Drosophila melanogaster: one gene and its partners. The protein of the gene in region 2 purifies or fractionates together with the protein of the main gene of each other region. This does not show direct contact. Each region holds a gene or a part of one and is shown on either strand. Other genes may lie near its edges.

Region 1 (7,575 bases), on a different chromosome or scaffold from region 2:
CCTCGAGCATCTCCTCCACATCGCCCTTGAGCATGCCGCCCTCCTTCAGGCGCTGCAGCAACACCCTGCCCGCCAGCTTGTGCATGTCCACCCAGGAGACTCCGTCACGGGCTGACTCTGTGACCGCATTGCGGGCATCCAGCACGGCATTGTAGATGAACTTCTGGTCGTCGGTGAACTTTCCATTGGCCGGGAATGTGCAGGTTATGTCGGCCGCATAGCCACAATAGTTGGCTCCCATATCGAACAGGCAGAGATCACCATCCTGGACGGGCTTGCTGTTGGGTGCGCCCGCGTGTCCATAGTGCAAGATCGACGAGTTCGTTCCGCTGCCGCATATGCAGGTGTAGGAGGCATGCCGGCAGCCGCCCACGGAGTAGGCGTGGTGCAGGAACAGGGATTCGCCCTCAAATTCCATTCTACCGGGACGCATAAACCGCATCACCTTGATGTGCGCGTCCGAGGATACCTTGGCCACGTAGCGCAGCACCTCGATCTCTTCGGGTGACTTGATCACTCGGCACTCAGAGAGAATTGGATACAGCAGATTGCAGTCAGTCACATACTTCTCCTTGCCAGCAAAGTCGGGCGGCTGAAGGGTGAGCCCGCTATCGCTGTTGGTGCCACTCAATGTGAGTATCAGCTTGGGCGACGCCCCCTCCAGATAAACACTCATTTCGTCAACATAAAACACCTCGTCCACCTCGTACATGGCCTTGAACTCCTGCAGCCCAAGCAGTTCGCCCATCCAGGTGCCGTACTCATCGGGAAAGCGAGGAACAAAGAGAACACTTTTCTGTGCACCAGTTTTCACATCAATGGTTAGGATGCCGTAGCAGCCCGGCTCCTTGACACCGAACAAGTACTGGAAATAGGACTCCTGCCGGAAAACGTAGTCCACGTCGGTGTTGTACAGGCTCTGGTCCTTGCCGCCCTCGAGGAGCACCAGCAGGTTGCCGTCGTTGAACTTGAGGCCCGGCAGCAGCTCCTTAAGGATGGCCTTGCCAGCACGATCCCTGTTGTTCCGGAAGAGGGTCATGGGCACTGCGTAACCCGATCCCATCTGAAAGGCGGCCATGGTGTTGCGACGGAGGACAAAGTTTAACTGGCGCTCTGGACAACAATGAGTGCTCGAGCAAGTGAGATTAGCTGATAATAGCCAATAACCGGGCTAACAAAGGCAGTAAATTATGTGGGTTTTATCAGTGTTTTTTGTTTTCTGTTTTCGCAAAAGTATGACCGAGAACTGAACGCGAAAAAAAACAAGCTTAAATTACAATTCATCGATCGGGAATTTTATTTTTTTAAATATATTCTTTAATATTTTTAATTAGCTCAATTCATTTATTTATCATACGGTTTTCCTTTTTGGCAGCCGACCTTGAAAATAAAGGATTTCCCTAAATAAACACAGATTAACATTTTGTTCAAATGAGCTAGCAATTGAAACTAGTTCCGCAGAGCGAGGCACAGAAACTATCGATAACCTACAGCATCGGCATCATTCCCAAGTCTGGTCACACTGGAAGTGGCTTTTTTTGCAAATTTTATTTTCATAATTGAGAAAAATTTGCATTTTAAAGCGAAACAGCAACGGATTAAGCTCTCGAATCTCAACAATATAACAGCCAGCTTGTGGGCGCAGCCAGCAGAGCATCACCAGTATTAAGTATAGGGCGAACGCAGCCCAGTGACCGTTTTCCACCTACTATCCAATTTCAATGTCGGCGTCACAACGCGGCGGATGCAACAACAAATGAGTCGTTGTTCTGTTCCAAGCTAATTAAGTACACGCTGTGTGGGCCGCCGACTCCAATGCGCCGCTAGCGGGGATCACGAGCAGTTGGCGTCATGTCCAGTTCGGTGTTTACGGAGGCGCCCAGCGCCCGGCCGGCGGCAGCCGAAGCCGACTCCAATCTGGTTGTGGTCTACAGCAAGAGCGGAATCTCCTTCGACGAGCGTGCGATTGGGAACATCATGGGTAAGTGGGTCCAATAGGCCTGACACACGCTCATTGCTCCCCACACTGACATGGGCTTGTTGCAGAGGAAAAATCGATTTCCACCATTAGCGTGGTGCGGATTACATCGCCCACGCCGAGCATGGTGGACCAAGAGGAAGACGAACGGCTGGAGGAGCTGGCGAACTTTATGGAAACTGCCACCGACTCGGAGCTGGACAGTGACAATGGCAGCCAAAGTGGTGGCGATAATGCCAGTGAGATGGATGAACACGACGAGGAGAACCATAACACCGGTGACGACAACAATAGCGACTCCACGGAGACGGAAGCCGATGCCCCGCGCACACGCAAGCGAGTTGGCCGAAAGCCCAAGGCCATCAAAAAGCGAAAGCGACGCAAACCCAAGGAGCGTCCACAAATTGTGGGTTTGCGAGTGGAGCAGTTTTATGCGGACAACACGGCTGATATGGTTGTGAAAAATGCACTGAGTAAATAACGTACATCGATGTGGTCCAAATGATAAAGCAAAACAACATCATTATTTCGAGCACAACGAAAGTAAACGAACTTTAGCTTTCAACTAATTTGTATTCTATTTACAGAGCTTGCCGGAGTTTCCGTCTACAAAAGGACTGCGGAGACAGACGCTCTTATGGAAGTTATTCGAAATGACCACAACTACACACCGTTTACCTCGCCAGAGCAGCTGAAGAACCACAAGCGCGATGAGAAGATGGCCATGGAAATGCAGGCCCAAAGCCGCAAAATCATAATGCAGGCACCGGGCAGTGTCAAGCTAATCAATGCCAAAAAACGAGTCCAGGCCATACCCTTAAGCCCGGTGCAGGTCAAGGTCCAGAGACTGCCAGTCAAGCCCCACCAAGTTCAGCAGGCAGCGCAGCTGCAACCGAAAGTGCAGCTGATCCGCAAGCCCATCCATTCGCCACTGCCAAGACAGAAGCCAGAGATTATCGCGAACAATTCGGTCAATGCCAGGCTGAGGCCCACTCGTGCTCCAGTCAAAGTGATTGCTCCGCCTGTGCAGGAATACATCGAAGATGATGATGACGCCCAAAGCTCGGATTCCGCCGAAGAGGAAAATGCCGACAAGGCCTATGATTCGGAGGAAATGAGTGAGGAGAGCGATGAGTTCCAGGAATCGGACAACGACAGGGACAGTGACATGGACTTCGATATGAGGCATAGCAATAGACGTAATCCGAATAAGAGGAAGCGGGTTAGAAAGGTGGTTAGGCAGACTCCCAGCAAACCAATGAAGCCGCTGCCTCCGCCACCCACAACGCCGCAGCACTTCCCCGAGCTGAAGAAACGCAAGGAAGTTTTGGAGCCGAAGGCGCCGCAAATTGGGCAAATAATCCAGATGCCTGCCACAAAATCAGTGCCCGCAGTGTTTGCCCTAGGCAGAGGTCTTCCAAGCACATCGTTTCTCAAAATCCGGCCCACACATCAATCGCTGCCTGTGAAGAGACCTCCACTGCCAACGACACCGGCCAATTCCAATGTTCGTCGTATGCCTGCCGTGCAATTGGGAAGGATCGTAAACTCGCCGCAGGAAGTTAAAGAGATTATTATCAACAAGAATATGGCCAGTCCCAAAGGAGTGTTTACCAATCTCAACACTTTGCTGGGTGAGGACAACAATGCAGCCACAAAATCTTCGCCAGTTCCACTCCGACACCGGGCCGTCATGTCGCCAAGCACGCCGAGATCGAGCTACAATCAGCAGATGTCGCCAATTGTGGTTCCGGTTCCTGCTCAGGCACATACCCCATCCAAGGGCTTCATGCCCATCGGCGTGGACACAGCTCAGTCGCATAAACTGCCCGCCCAAATAGTAATCGAGACGCACCAGAGTTCCTCCGAGCTGGCAGCAGAAAATGACAAGCAGCTCGATCTGATCAACTCGATTGTGCAGGACGAGCTACTTAAGTCCACGCTTGTGGAGCAGCCGGTAGTAAATGCGGACGAGGATATACCGAAACTGGTTAAGATGCTGGAGAGTACAGCGGCGGATCTAGATCCGCCACCAGTGTCCTTGCCTACGAATATTTTTCCAGCTCCCGAGATGCAGGGAGTGGGAAATGCAGCTGCAGCCGATCCGAATAATATAATGGATACGGCGAATGAGGATGAGATTACAGCTGATTTTCTCCAGCACGTGGTCGGTCTCATCGAGGAGGACAAACAGTTTGAGGCCGAGGTGGTTAAGCAAGTATTGGCTAGTACAGAGCCCGGAACCCTGGACGCCATCGTATCTATGCCTACGTCCATTGAGCCCGTAGACGTGCCGCAAGTACAGGCAAGTGTAGAATATCCTGGTTATTGATTTTGCTAGCTAACTGCATTGCTCCTTTACAGGCACACACGAACCTACTGCCGAATGCAAGTCTTACGGAGCCCGCACAATCGATGACCTCATTGCCGATTGCCTGCAGTACACCCTCGAGGAGCGTGGCAGCAAGCACTCCGCCCACCTCCGCGAAGGTTGTGCGCGGCTACGGTCGGGTCATATACCTGCCTCCCATTGAAGCCCCCACCACGCGGGCCAAGCGACGAGCACAGTTTCCTTCAGCTCCGGGCATGGCTGCGACCAGTTCCAGTGATGCAGGCAACCTGTCGTTTGGTGAATCTTCGTTGGATGCGAGCATCAATCAGCCGCTCAATACCAGCAGCCTGAGCAATGACAGCCAGCCGGGAAGTGGGCCGAAACGACCCAATCCTAGAGAGCCATCGATGGCCAGACGTTCAACGGCACCCAGAAGATCAAAGAAGCTTGATGCAAGTCAGAACAATGATCCCGACGCTTCAGAGTCTCAGGAGGATGACGATGACCCCAACAAGTAAGATTATAGTTGGATATTTCATAGATGCAAATCTGTGCGTTTGTTGAAAACCTTTTTTGTTTTTTTTTTTTTTTTTTTGGTTTAGGCTCTGGTGCATTTGTCGTCAGCCACACAACAATCGTTTCATGATCTGCTGCGATTTGTGCGAGGATTGGTTCCACGGCACATGCGTGGGGGTGACCAAGGCGATGGGCACAGATATGGAAAACAAGGGCATCGACTGGAAGTGCCCCAAATGCGTTAAAAGGCAGGAGGAGAGGGTAAAGTCATACAATAGACATAAAGTTACCTTTTATTGATTCGTTATCTTTGTAGAGCCAACCACGAATAACAGACATGTTGGTCACCAGACCAACCACTCAACCTGAGCAGAGGCCGAGTGAAACCAAAGTACTAACTACGACAGCAGAAATTGTTCAGGTCGCGGCTCCTTCGGCTCCCAGAAGAACACTACCGGTGGTCTTAACTGTAGCCAGTTCCCCCATGCGTATTCCAATGGCAAAGCCGGCCAAAAAGTTCCCAACCGGTGCAATCTCTCACCAGCAGCAGCAGCAGCTGAACTTTATCAGACTGGGCCCATCACCTGGCAAACGAATTTCGGAGACGTTATGTGTGGTCTGCAAGCGACCGGCGAGCACCTCTTCCGTCTATTGTGGCGAAGAGTGCATCCGGAAGTATGCCCAAAGTGCAATTCAAGCACATGCTGCTACCAAAGGCCCATTGCCACAGAATGCCGGTGCTCAGTCTTTGCTGAACAACTCCTTCGATGCCAAAAAGAACAAGAAGAAGGACTTGTTTGAGGACGTGCTGAGGCAAGCGGACACTGTGTCAAAAGTGGAACGGGTATGCAATAAAGGTTAATTTAATTAGAACTATACAACAAATAATGTGCACACTTTGCTTTGCAGATTAATGTGTTTGAGCGTAAAAGTGGTCGGGTTATCACCGGGCACATGGCCCCTTCTGCACATCAGTTTCGGAAATGGCTTCAGGAGAATCCCTCCTTCGAGGTGCTGCCCTCAGGAACCGTTCAGTCAGCCGACGCAGAGAAGCGTTTGCTGAAAGGGGCACCGGAAGCCGCCACCTCAACTTCAGAACCCGCCGTGCTAGGAGTTGCAAAAAAGCCACCTGAAGGTCCTGCCAAATTGTCCCATCCCCAAAACACCACAGTTCAGGCAAGCCACCAACTTGGAATCTCTTCCGTGCGTCCTTTGGCCAAAAAGGATAAAGAGAAGACAACACCTACAGTACAGGCGCCAACCCCTAATCGTATCGCAGCGGGCAAACCCGAGCCGGTTCGAATCGGCATCCGGCGATCACTCAGGGAGCAACTACTAGCGCGAATCAAAGAAGCTCAGGCTGCCGAGGAGAACTCTGGCCAGCCAACGACTCAGTGGCCGACCGTACTTGAGGTGGATCAGTTTGTCAAGAACGTGGAGCTGGAAATGTTCAACTCGTTTGGCCGAGACGTGGGAGCCAAGTACAAGGCCAAGTATCGATCGCTTATGTTCAACATAAAGGATCGCAAGAACCGAACGCTTTTCGAAAAGATTTGTGCCAAGCAAGTGGAGCCCAGGCAGTTGGTGCGGATGACGCCGGAACAGCTGGCCAGCCAAGAGTTGGCCAAGTGGCGGGAGGAGGAAAACCGTCACCAGTTGGATATGATCAAGAAATCGGAGCTGGACTTGTTGGCATGTGCCCAAAACTATGTGGTGAAAACACACAAGGGAGAGGAGGTAATCGCCACCAAAGTGGATGTTACGCTGCCCGAAGAGAACGTTAGTGAAGCATCATCTATGGCGGACACAAAACAGACGTCGCTGGTCAGTGAGCCGTCTACCTCCACACTGGAACGTTCCACGTCCAGGGAAAAGGCGGGTTCATCGAAGGAAAAGCGACACAAGAGCCACAAGCATCATCATCGAAAGCGCAGTCGAAGTCGTTCCAATAGTCGGGGTCGAAGCGTCGATAAGCGCCATCGCAGGCAGCACAACGAAGGAGGAGAGCAGCCAGGCAGCGGGGAGCGTGAGCATAGATCGCGTGAGAAACAGAGCCGGGAAAGGGATGAGATCGTTCCATCACCCTTGCCCAAGAAGAGGGACGAAAACGACCAATCGCCGGTACCCAAAAAGACGGCGGAAAAGAAAACCGAGGCGAGTGCTTACAACTTGGTTGATCAAATTCTGGAATCGGAGAAAACAGTCGAGCAGGCGGCGAATCTAGGCAAACCAAAGCCGTCACCCAAGCCACTTCCAACGCTTCCGAGTTCTTTGAAGGCACCTGAGCCAATGGACAACTACTCCCGCTACTTGCACGGCCTGACGACGAGTTCACTGTGGTCCGGTACTCTCAAGATGATCGATTTGGCCGACTTCGAAATCGTCATGTACCCCGTGCAGGGTAACTGCCATCAATTGGGTAACCTGATGCCAAGTCAGATGGACGTAATCGGTCGCATAACCCGCGTTAATGTCTGGGAATATATCAAGAAGCTAAAGAAGAGTCCCACAAAGGAAGTGGTCATTGTGAACATATTCCCCGCCTCGCCCAGCGAAACGTATAAGTTTGATCTCTTCTTCGAATACCTGGACTCGCGTCAGCGTCTGGGCGTCCTGGGCGTGGACTCGGATCAGATACGCGACTTTTACATATTCCCCTTGGGTAGCGGCGATAAGTTGCCACCAGCGCTGCAGACCGCGGAGCCAGTTCCCTTCTACGAAGAAGCGCAAAGACCCAACACGCTGCTCG
Region 2 (4,084 bases):
TACGCCAAGAAGCGTGGTGAGGTCAAGAGCAACCTTACCTCGGTGGCTTTGGGGGATCCATGGACCTCGCCCATCGACTCCGTGCTCGCATGGGGACCTTTTCTCAGAGAAATGGGAATCGTGGACCACGCGGGATACAATGCCATTCAAGAGGCAGCGAACTTCACGGCTCAGTTGGTGGAGGAGGAGCGATGGATTCAGGCCACCTATCAGTGGGGCAACACCCAGTGGGAGGTGATGAAAGCCTCCAAGGGTGTGGACTTCTACAACGTGCTGAAGGAGACAAAGGGTGGTCTCTACCAGAGATCAAAGGCCTTGACCTCCGAAGGTGAACCAAATACTTCGATACGATATTTTTCAAACCATGATATTTCCCTGCAGAACGTCTGTATCGCACCATGGTGAAATACGATATTGATGAGGATCGAACCAAGTTACTGGAGGATCTGATGCGGGGCCCGGTGGCGGAAACCCTGGGTATACCTTCGAATGTCATCTGGGGATCGCAGAGTGGGACCACTTTTGACATCCACAGAACGGACTTCATGAAGCCAGTCATCCACATTGGTAGGGATATTACTTCTTATATAACGAAAGCGTCTGACATCCATTGAATGACAGTGAACGAATTGCTGGAGAAGACTCCTCTGAAGGTCGGCGTATTCTCCGGTGGCCTGGATTTGATTTGCGCCACACCGGGCACCGTCAACTGGATAGCCAAGCTGGACTGGAGCCGAAAGGACGAGTACCTGGCTGCTCCACGCAATGGCATCACGGTGGATCGCATCTTGGAGGGCTATCAAAAGACGGGCGGTAACTTTACCATGTTCTGGATCAACCGAAGTGGTCACATGGCTCCGGCGGACAACCCTGCGGCTATGAGTCATGTACTTCGAGAGTTTACCTCATTTGGCTAAATTCATTTAAATTGAATTATAATAAACTCAGTATGCAAGCCAGTTGTATACTATATTCGTCTAAAAATAGAGGAGTGTTTTACTGAAAGTATATAATGTAAATCGTAATGGATTTTTTGCTTATAGAAGCTGGGGAAGTTATCCTATTAGTTATTTTGATAAATGTCAAATGTATGTCTTAATCTGCTCTTTAAAAAGCAATGCCCAGAATTGATGCATATATGATTATATGAACACCTAAAAATAATATAGTCAATCAATCAAAGAATGCTGATGATTTAAAAAGAGTTTTTGGGAGACACCTTAGATATCTTTCACGCATGTCACGTGGGATAAACCGCAAGTGATACCGAAAAATAATAGGAAAAGCCCTCGGAAAACCCACTCAAGATAGCAAAGTGCAATCTTTGCGATGATTTTGGAGCTTCATAGGCTCTATCTAAATATATGACACAAAGATTCGGCAAATCGGACGAGTGACAAGCACAGATTGACCAAAAAGCCGCGTCACCGTCCAGCGAAGGGCCATAAATACTCTGCAAACACAGTTCCCCTGCCCGCAGATTACGAATTCCAGGTGTGTCAGGTGCTGGCTGTTGCTATTTTACCTTCGATGTCTGGGAGCAACCAGCGATCAATTGGCAGTGGAACTGCCAAGTGTGCGGTTGTCTCTCGATCGGTGTCTCTTGGAATTGGAACTGAAACACTGGTGCAACATGGCTGGACGCGCTATCATCGCACTTTTGGCCCTACTGGGATTTGCCGGCTTGGCTTCCGTTGACGGTGAGAATCGTGATTTGTATTCCAATTAGGGGTGCTAATCAGTGAGAAAGTGTTCCAAAACAAACGGTTCTTTACGACTTGTAGAACAGGCCAACAGAATTATCTGTTACAGACTTTTTTACCTACTTTTATATCCGTAGATTGAAATACTTATGAATCGTTTGGGGACAGACCTTATTACCATTGTAAAAGATACAGTGACCAACCGCTATTCGGTTTGTTATAAGACAATACAATCAACTATCTACACTATCTATAACAATTAATCTTATCTAAATGGCTACTCGTGCAGCCGTTTAATATACTTAAAGGCTAGATTTCTCAAGTGTTCCCTAGAAATCAGGGGCTATCATGAAATTACAAAATCAAAGAGCTTTGTATATTAATAACTATTTAATCGAAATGAGCTATAATTCAATATACTCTCAGCACGCAAGGGCTATGGACCCGGTGATCAGGATTGGGGATTTGTGGATGTCAGGACTGGCGCCCACATGTTCTACTGGCTGTACTACACCACCGCCAATGTCTCCAGTTACACGGAGCGTCCGCTGGCCATTTGGCTCCAAGGAGGTCCAGGTGCCTCCTCAACGGGATACGGAAACTTTGAGGAGTTGGGTCCCCTGAAGCTCGACGGCAGCTACCGCGACTGGACTTGGGTGAAGGACATGAACGTGATGTTCATCGACAATCCCGTGGGCAGTGGTTTCAGCTACGTGGACGGATCTTCTTACTACACGACCAACAACAAGCAGATCGCCCTGGATCTCGTTGAGCTGATGAAGGGCTTCTACACAAACCACCCGGAATTCAAGACTGTGCCGCTGCACATCTTCTGCGAGAGTTATGGCGGAAAGATGGCCCCGGAGTTCGCTTTGGAGTTGGATTACGCCATCAAGCGCGGTGAGATCGAGAGCAACTTTGTTTCGGTGGCCTTGGGAGATCCCTGGACCTCACCCATAGACTCTGTGCTCTCGTGGGCTCCCTTCCTGCTGCAGTTGGGAATCGTGGATCAGGATGGCCATGACAAGATTGAAGCTTCGGCCCTGAAGACTAAGGACTATGTTGACCGCGAGAAGTGGACACAGGCCACTTTGCAGTGGAGCTCCACCCAGTCAGTGGTGCTGCGCGAGTCCAAGGGAGTGGACTTCTATAACGTGGAGACCCCAACATTGGGTGATCAGTACAGGTTGATGTCCAGAGCTGCCATGACTCCGGAGGGTAAGATCCGTTGCGTAACTTACCGAGCTGATTCTCATCAACCACTTATCCAGAGGTCATGTATCGCACCCTCGTGAAATTCGATGTGGATGAGGACCGCGACAAATTGCTGGAGGATCTAATGCTTGGACCCGTGACCGAGGCCCTCGGAATCAACACCGGAGTGAAATGGGGCGCCCAGAGCGGCACCACCTTCACCAAGCTGATGGGCGATTTCATGAAGCCAGCTGTGGATGTTGGTATGTTTCAACCGTCTGGGTGCTACCTCAAATTATAGCCTTATGACACTTTTAGTGGGTGAACTGCTGAACAACACCACCGTAAAAGTGGGCGTGTTCTCCGGAGGACTGGACCTGATTTGCGCCACTCCGGGAGCCGTCAACTGGATCGAAGCAATGGAATGGTCCGCCAAGCCATCTTACCAGGTCTCTCCGCGCGTGGGAATCACCGTAGATCGAGTTCTCGAGGGTTACGAGAAGACCTATGGCAACTTCAGCATGTTTTGGGTCAACCGGGCTGGTCACATGGTTCCTGCCGATAATCCCGCGGCCATGTCGCACATCCTGCGACACTTCACCAAATTCGGTTAAACAAATTAGCCGGAGAAAAGCGTTAAAATAAAGATTATTTTCGAAATGTATGGACTCGTGGGTTTCCAATTGGTGGTGGTTCGATTAATTTAAATTAAATATTGATTACAATTCGCAAAGACTTTATAGTTATATTTTACAGTGCAGTTAGTTGCAGATCTTGTGAAATCAATTCATTCTTAAACTGAAAACAAAATACATACATACATATGTATGTTCTCATTAATCTTACTCTACTTAAAAAGCGATCGCCTGCAGAGTTGCCACATGGCGAAAGTAACAGTAAAGTTGTCGCATGCGCAGTTGCACCCTCTCAGCTGGTCACACGCACACACACTCTCGCACACGCCGACTTCCCTTCCGTTCTAGTTGCCCACGTTGCGCATGCGAGAGCGAGAGAGGGAGCGAGCAGAGAATGAAAACTGCGCGAGATAACGCGGCAGCTATTTTTGTATGGGTCGTCGTCTAGTTCGCACGGACATCGGAAAATACGCAAGGTGCAGCGCACGGCCAGTTGGAAAATCACAATCAGAAGACAAATCGAGTGCCTAGGAAGAGAAAACGAAAGCGAAT
Region 3 (4,734 bases), on a different chromosome or scaffold from region 2:
ATCAGAAATCGGACAGAAGGCAGAAGGTGAAATCACTTGAGATGGGCATCTTCCGACAGATGCCCCTGCCACAAGGCACCCTGTACAGGCCCCGCTGGCTGTGATGCACTGCCTCCACTCGCACATCGAACGCTGGCCACGGCAAAGGAAAAAGGGAAAAAAACGAACGGAAAATAAAGGAAAAAAAAAGAAAAGCGCATGAAAAAGGAAAAGACGGCGTCAAATGCCGCCCGGCCAAATGGCCAGCCGGATCAGCCCAATGTATTCCACCCGATTCAGAGTTGTTTGCCCACAGAGGGTATCGATGAGATGTCTGGGCTTATTGGAAAAAAAATGTTGGAAAAAGGGAAATGCAACACGGGCTTATGGGGATAGTAAGTCCCTCTGATAGAGTGGACAAATTGGTTTGTAAATTAATTTTAAAATCTATCTAAATTCAAGTTTATAAGATATTTTTACTTCTTGAATAAACATTCTATAATTCTTATTGTAAAACTCTATTCTTACTATCAAAATCTCTTTTTTAGGTATTCCAAAGTCGGAAGATATCACTATCTTCATCCTTGGCTGCCTCTTTTTTCTGTCTATTGTTAAATCCACCCAAAATAGCTCCACGCACATTGACGAGAAGAGTGCGTGGGTCTTTGACGGGGAGTATGGAGAGTAGGGGGTATGCGGAGTAAGGGGAGTACAGACCATATGAGATGGCGAATGAGGAGTGTTGGCACTTCACGGCGGAGTTTCACATTCTGACGGGCCTCAGACGTCCGGCAGCCGCACTAATTGCATTCGCCTGGTCAAACGAAGAAATTGCAACAGGCGGACAATTAGCGAGCGAACTCATTCGCATTCAAATTTCACATTTGCTCAAAGAAAGAACAGAAATACTGCACTCAGAAAAATGGTTAACTCACTTCTTACTTCATTGCAGATATTTTGATATTTTATAGAACTCTGGAGTTCAATTTCGGAAGGATTAGGATACATGTGGGATCACAGCCTTGTACTTTTACTTTTTAACATACGAAATATTGTCAGATAGTTTCCTCTTTTTACCAAATAAAGCTTTCTAAATGTAAATCCAATTTGGTAGGATTTTCTCTCAGTGTAGAGGCACACAGTGTAGAAAAGATCGGAACGAAGGCAACAAAAAACTTTTGAAACGCGACGAAGATCAACGTTCAAAATTGAGCAGACGTCAGCAGCGGCAGCAGATCGGCAGAGAACTGAGAGTGAGAGTGGAGGAGAGAGTGTGGAGAATTGCTGGCGCTCTCCCGAGCGCTGGGGGTCTCGGGCCGTCCCGCTCGCACCTGCGGCTAACACATTGGGGGCCTCTGCCCCACTAGACCCTCCGGAACTCAGACCGTCTCGCTCTGCTCTCCGGCGTCGGTTCCGGTGGCAGACGGCAGAAGATTCTAACTAGAAGAATTAGAAGAAGCTAGGACGGAGGCAGCAAGTAGAAGACCCGTGATCGTGTAATTCGCCTCGTGTGCGTTCCGTTGTTCCGTAATTATTCCGGATTTGTTTTCGAAACAGGCTGAAGTGATGTGATGGGATTTCGATAGCTCCATCTTTCAACTTGTTTCGCTTTATCCGCCTTTTGTCACCACGGCTCTACGTTATTCCGTTGTCCCATTGTTCCGTTCTTCCGTAGTCCCATTGTTCCGTAATTCTCCGTTCTCCGTTGTTGTCGCGCCTTTCGTGGCCGCTGGTCGACGTTACGTTTTTACAGTTCGATAATCGAGCACTTCCCGAGAGGATCGAAGGCTCCAGGCATCTGCGTAAACCACGAAGGATCTACAGTACCTCTAAATATACCGCCCTTAGGTCGAAAACAAGTTACTAAAAAACCAGCGCGCCGTGAAATTCCTCTTGTTTATATAATAACCAGCGGCTGCCAAAAGCCCAGCGGAATATACAAAAAATATTCATTTTTCTAGCTCTGGTCGTTTGTATTTTTCAGGCTAAAAGAAAGAAAATAAGAAAGAAGAAAACCCAAGCAATTCTGCGTGTTATGTGTTATCGTTGTGATCAGTGATCCAGTGATCAAGTGAAAGTGAACACAAGAACGTGAGAGAAAGCCAAGTGAATCAGCTCGACTCCAATCGAAAAGGATATAAATCAGAGACAATGTCGGACATTGAGGATGTTTTCGGTGGCTCCGCCGAGGAGACCAAGCCCGAACCCGATGCCCAGAGCAAAACCAGCGTGGTCACCGAGCACACCGAGGAGGTGATTCCCGGCGAGACCGAGAAAATGGTAACGGAGACCATCGATGAGGATGGCGATGTCGTGGAGGAAACCACCGAAGTTACCCGCAAAACGGTGAAGCGCACCATGAAGATCACTGAGGTGAGTGAACTCTGACCCATGGATCCATCTAATAGCCGCCATTATCCATTAACTAACTTATTGTGCGTGTGCTGAGTACAAACATAATTCGAATAGCCATGAAAATCAATATGTATTCTGAATTTGAAAACCGTTCAAGAAGCTATAAAAATTCGGGAACTTGGGAAATTCTTAATGGAAACTATTTCCAAAAGCTTTAATGTTAAGTGCATATTCGCAATCAACTTAAAGAACAGTTCGTTAAAATTTATTAAGCATGGAAATTTTTATAAAAATATTTTCGATTCAAGTATTGTTTACCAAGCTTTTGGTGGGGGGATATATGCCGCAAAACAACATCTTGTTTTTGCATTGAATTTATATAAAAACATCGCATATTTTTGCGAAAGTAAATGACATTCCATTTTACATATTTCCGAAAATATTCTTACGGAACTACAAGTTTAAACCAAAGAATCCGCCCAAAACTGAATGATTTCCTCAATAGTTGGCCACCCCCGATCGTTTGGCTTATGAAAGACTATAAATCATTATTCTCATATTCTGAAGGGATCTTCTGCCGTACTGGTCTCCTCGCTTGTGAAATTGGCCAAAACATGGCGAACTCTGGCTATACATTATTTATACCAAGTGCCATTTCTCTATGTGCGTCTTAGCGAATTGTTTATACGGTCCCACGAATATTATAAATCTTCCCATACATTATACATCACACACACCGCGGCACAGATATAGACGGACATATAGGCGATTATATACACATATACATATGTATGTATATGTTCGGCCACACTTTCTATAGGCGACGTTGCCGGGGGAAAGCCAACAAAAAATACAAATTTTGCAGCTGTTTGATTTCGGCGCAAATTATCACAAAAGATTTCAAATGGCATGGCGTATAAAAAAAGCTGGGAATTAAATTATTATTAAGCAGAAATCACTTAAATACTCGATGCCGAGCTATGCCAAAAAATCCCCACACTCGAAGAGAAATGGCAAAAAAATTAAATGCAATAAATTCTGTGCCGCCAACAAATGCAGAGGCAAAAAAACAAGTATCAGACCAAAAAAAAAAAAAAACAAAAAAAACATCGAGAAGAAGGCGAAACAAAAAATAAATATTGAGGTTTCCGTGTCTTGCGGTCTGGCGCGCACTGGGCGAAAGTTGGGTGGTGCCGCATGGGGCGGGTGGTGCAAGTGGTGGGGCAGCAATTAATTGCCACAAATCGTTGCACAAAATTACAAATTGCATTTCCGGCTTGGCGCGGCGGCCACGCACTTCCACCCGTATTCCCCACTACCGCTACCCCACCCCAAACCCCGCAGAAAGTCTTCGATTTTCCCGCCGCTGTTTTACGACTGTCTGGCCCCCCTCGCCCCTCGCCGGGCGAAAAGCAAAACACCGCCCGTTTTTCTTTCGTCGAGTTTTATGGCAGCCAAATTAAATTTGCATTGCAATTTACTTCTTTTTGGGTCGGCCTCTCGGCCTTTTCTCGTTTTTCCGTTTTGCCGTTTTTATGGGCCCGAAATGGAAATGAAAACGCATGAGCTCAGCCAGCCGGAGTCCTGCGAATGGGGCAGGGATAAGGATGTGCTGCTGCCAGGGCATATGTTGCCATATACACAAAACAGGATCGTATGTGCCTCGCTCCGAGCAGCTTGCCGAACTAATTGCGCTGCCAAAGTCCGGTTTCCTTGCCGAAGCTCATGAACTGCTGAACTGCTGAACTGCCCAAGCCAGCTTTCCCCGCTCACTTTCTCCCGGCGGCATTTCCTGGGCGAAAGCGGCTAATGAGTCACGTACCGTTTTTGTCATTTTTATGCGCTTAACAGGTCAAAGTTCCAGCCGCAGGGATACGTGACCAAAGTCGAGTTTGAGTTGAAAATGCAAAATTAGTTAAATAAAGTCGGAGATACGCCGGGCACTTTCTCCACTCCCCATCCCCACTGCCTTTCGTTATCCTTAATTCGAGGCGAAGCGGAAAACTGTCATAAATTTCACAGTTGATTTCACCGTTGTTTCCTGATTTGATTAGCTCATTAAACGACGGTAATTTGTGCGGTGCGGGGTATGGTTCAAGCCTCTGTGTATTTGCTTATAAACTAAACAATAAATATTAAAGAGAATGACTAAATTGAATAAAATATTCATAGAATATTCATGATTGATTAGTTTCAACAAAATCGAACTCTCAATCTATTGTCACTGAAAATTCAACATCAAATACGCCCAATTTGCGATTATTAAATTATCTGATTATGCGCCATTTAATGCAAACATTATGGAAATGCACCACTATTTAATAAACACCCAAACGAGCGACTTTGCGGTCGGAAAGTTCGGCCATATTATTCCTGCCGACTGGAATGTAGTTAAGCAAA

Evidence for each region. The genes of interacting proteins can lie anywhere in the genome.
Region 1: the proteins of hiro (region 2) and pps purify together in Drosophila melanogaster (affinity purification with mass spectrometry, with the first as the bait; one large-scale study listed by BioGRID). This does not show direct contact.
Region 3: the proteins of hiro (region 2) and tmod purify together in Drosophila melanogaster (affinity purification with mass spectrometry, with the first as the bait; one large-scale study listed by BioGRID). This does not show direct contact.

What each region holds. Positions count from the first base shown.
Region 1 is NT_033777.3:12,412,306-12,419,880, forward strand, and holds the start of pps (protein partner of snf), read left to right. Parts: upstream 1-1,522; 5' UTR 1,523-1,851; coding exon 1,852-1,981; intron 1,982-2,046; coding exon 2,047-2,451; intron 2,452-2,565; coding exon 2,566-4,283; intron 4,284-4,342; coding exon 4,343-4,824; intron 4,825-4,912; coding exon 4,913-5,087; intron 5,088-5,142; coding exon 5,143-5,670; intron 5,671-5,735; coding exon 5,736-7,575. Other genes in the region: Dip-C (dipeptidase C), read right to left, coding at 1-1,078.
Region 2 is NT_037436.4:685,418-689,501, reverse strand, and holds hiro (highroad), read left to right. Parts: upstream 1-1,543; 5' UTR 1,544-1,633; coding exon 1,634-1,700; intron 1,701-2,129; coding exon 2,130-2,921; intron 2,922-2,974; coding exon 2,975-3,160; intron 3,161-3,215; coding exon 3,216-3,511; 3' UTR 3,512-3,560; downstream 3,561-4,084. Other genes in the region: CG32483 (uncharacterized protein), read left to right, coding at 1-328, 382-567, 622-917.
Region 3 is NT_033777.3:30,531,156-30,535,889, forward strand, and holds the start of tmod (tropomodulin), read left to right. Parts: upstream 1-1,681; 5' UTR 1,682-1,827; exon of another isoform or gene 1,828-1,940; 5' UTR 1,941-2,130; coding exon 2,131-2,352; intron 2,353-4,734.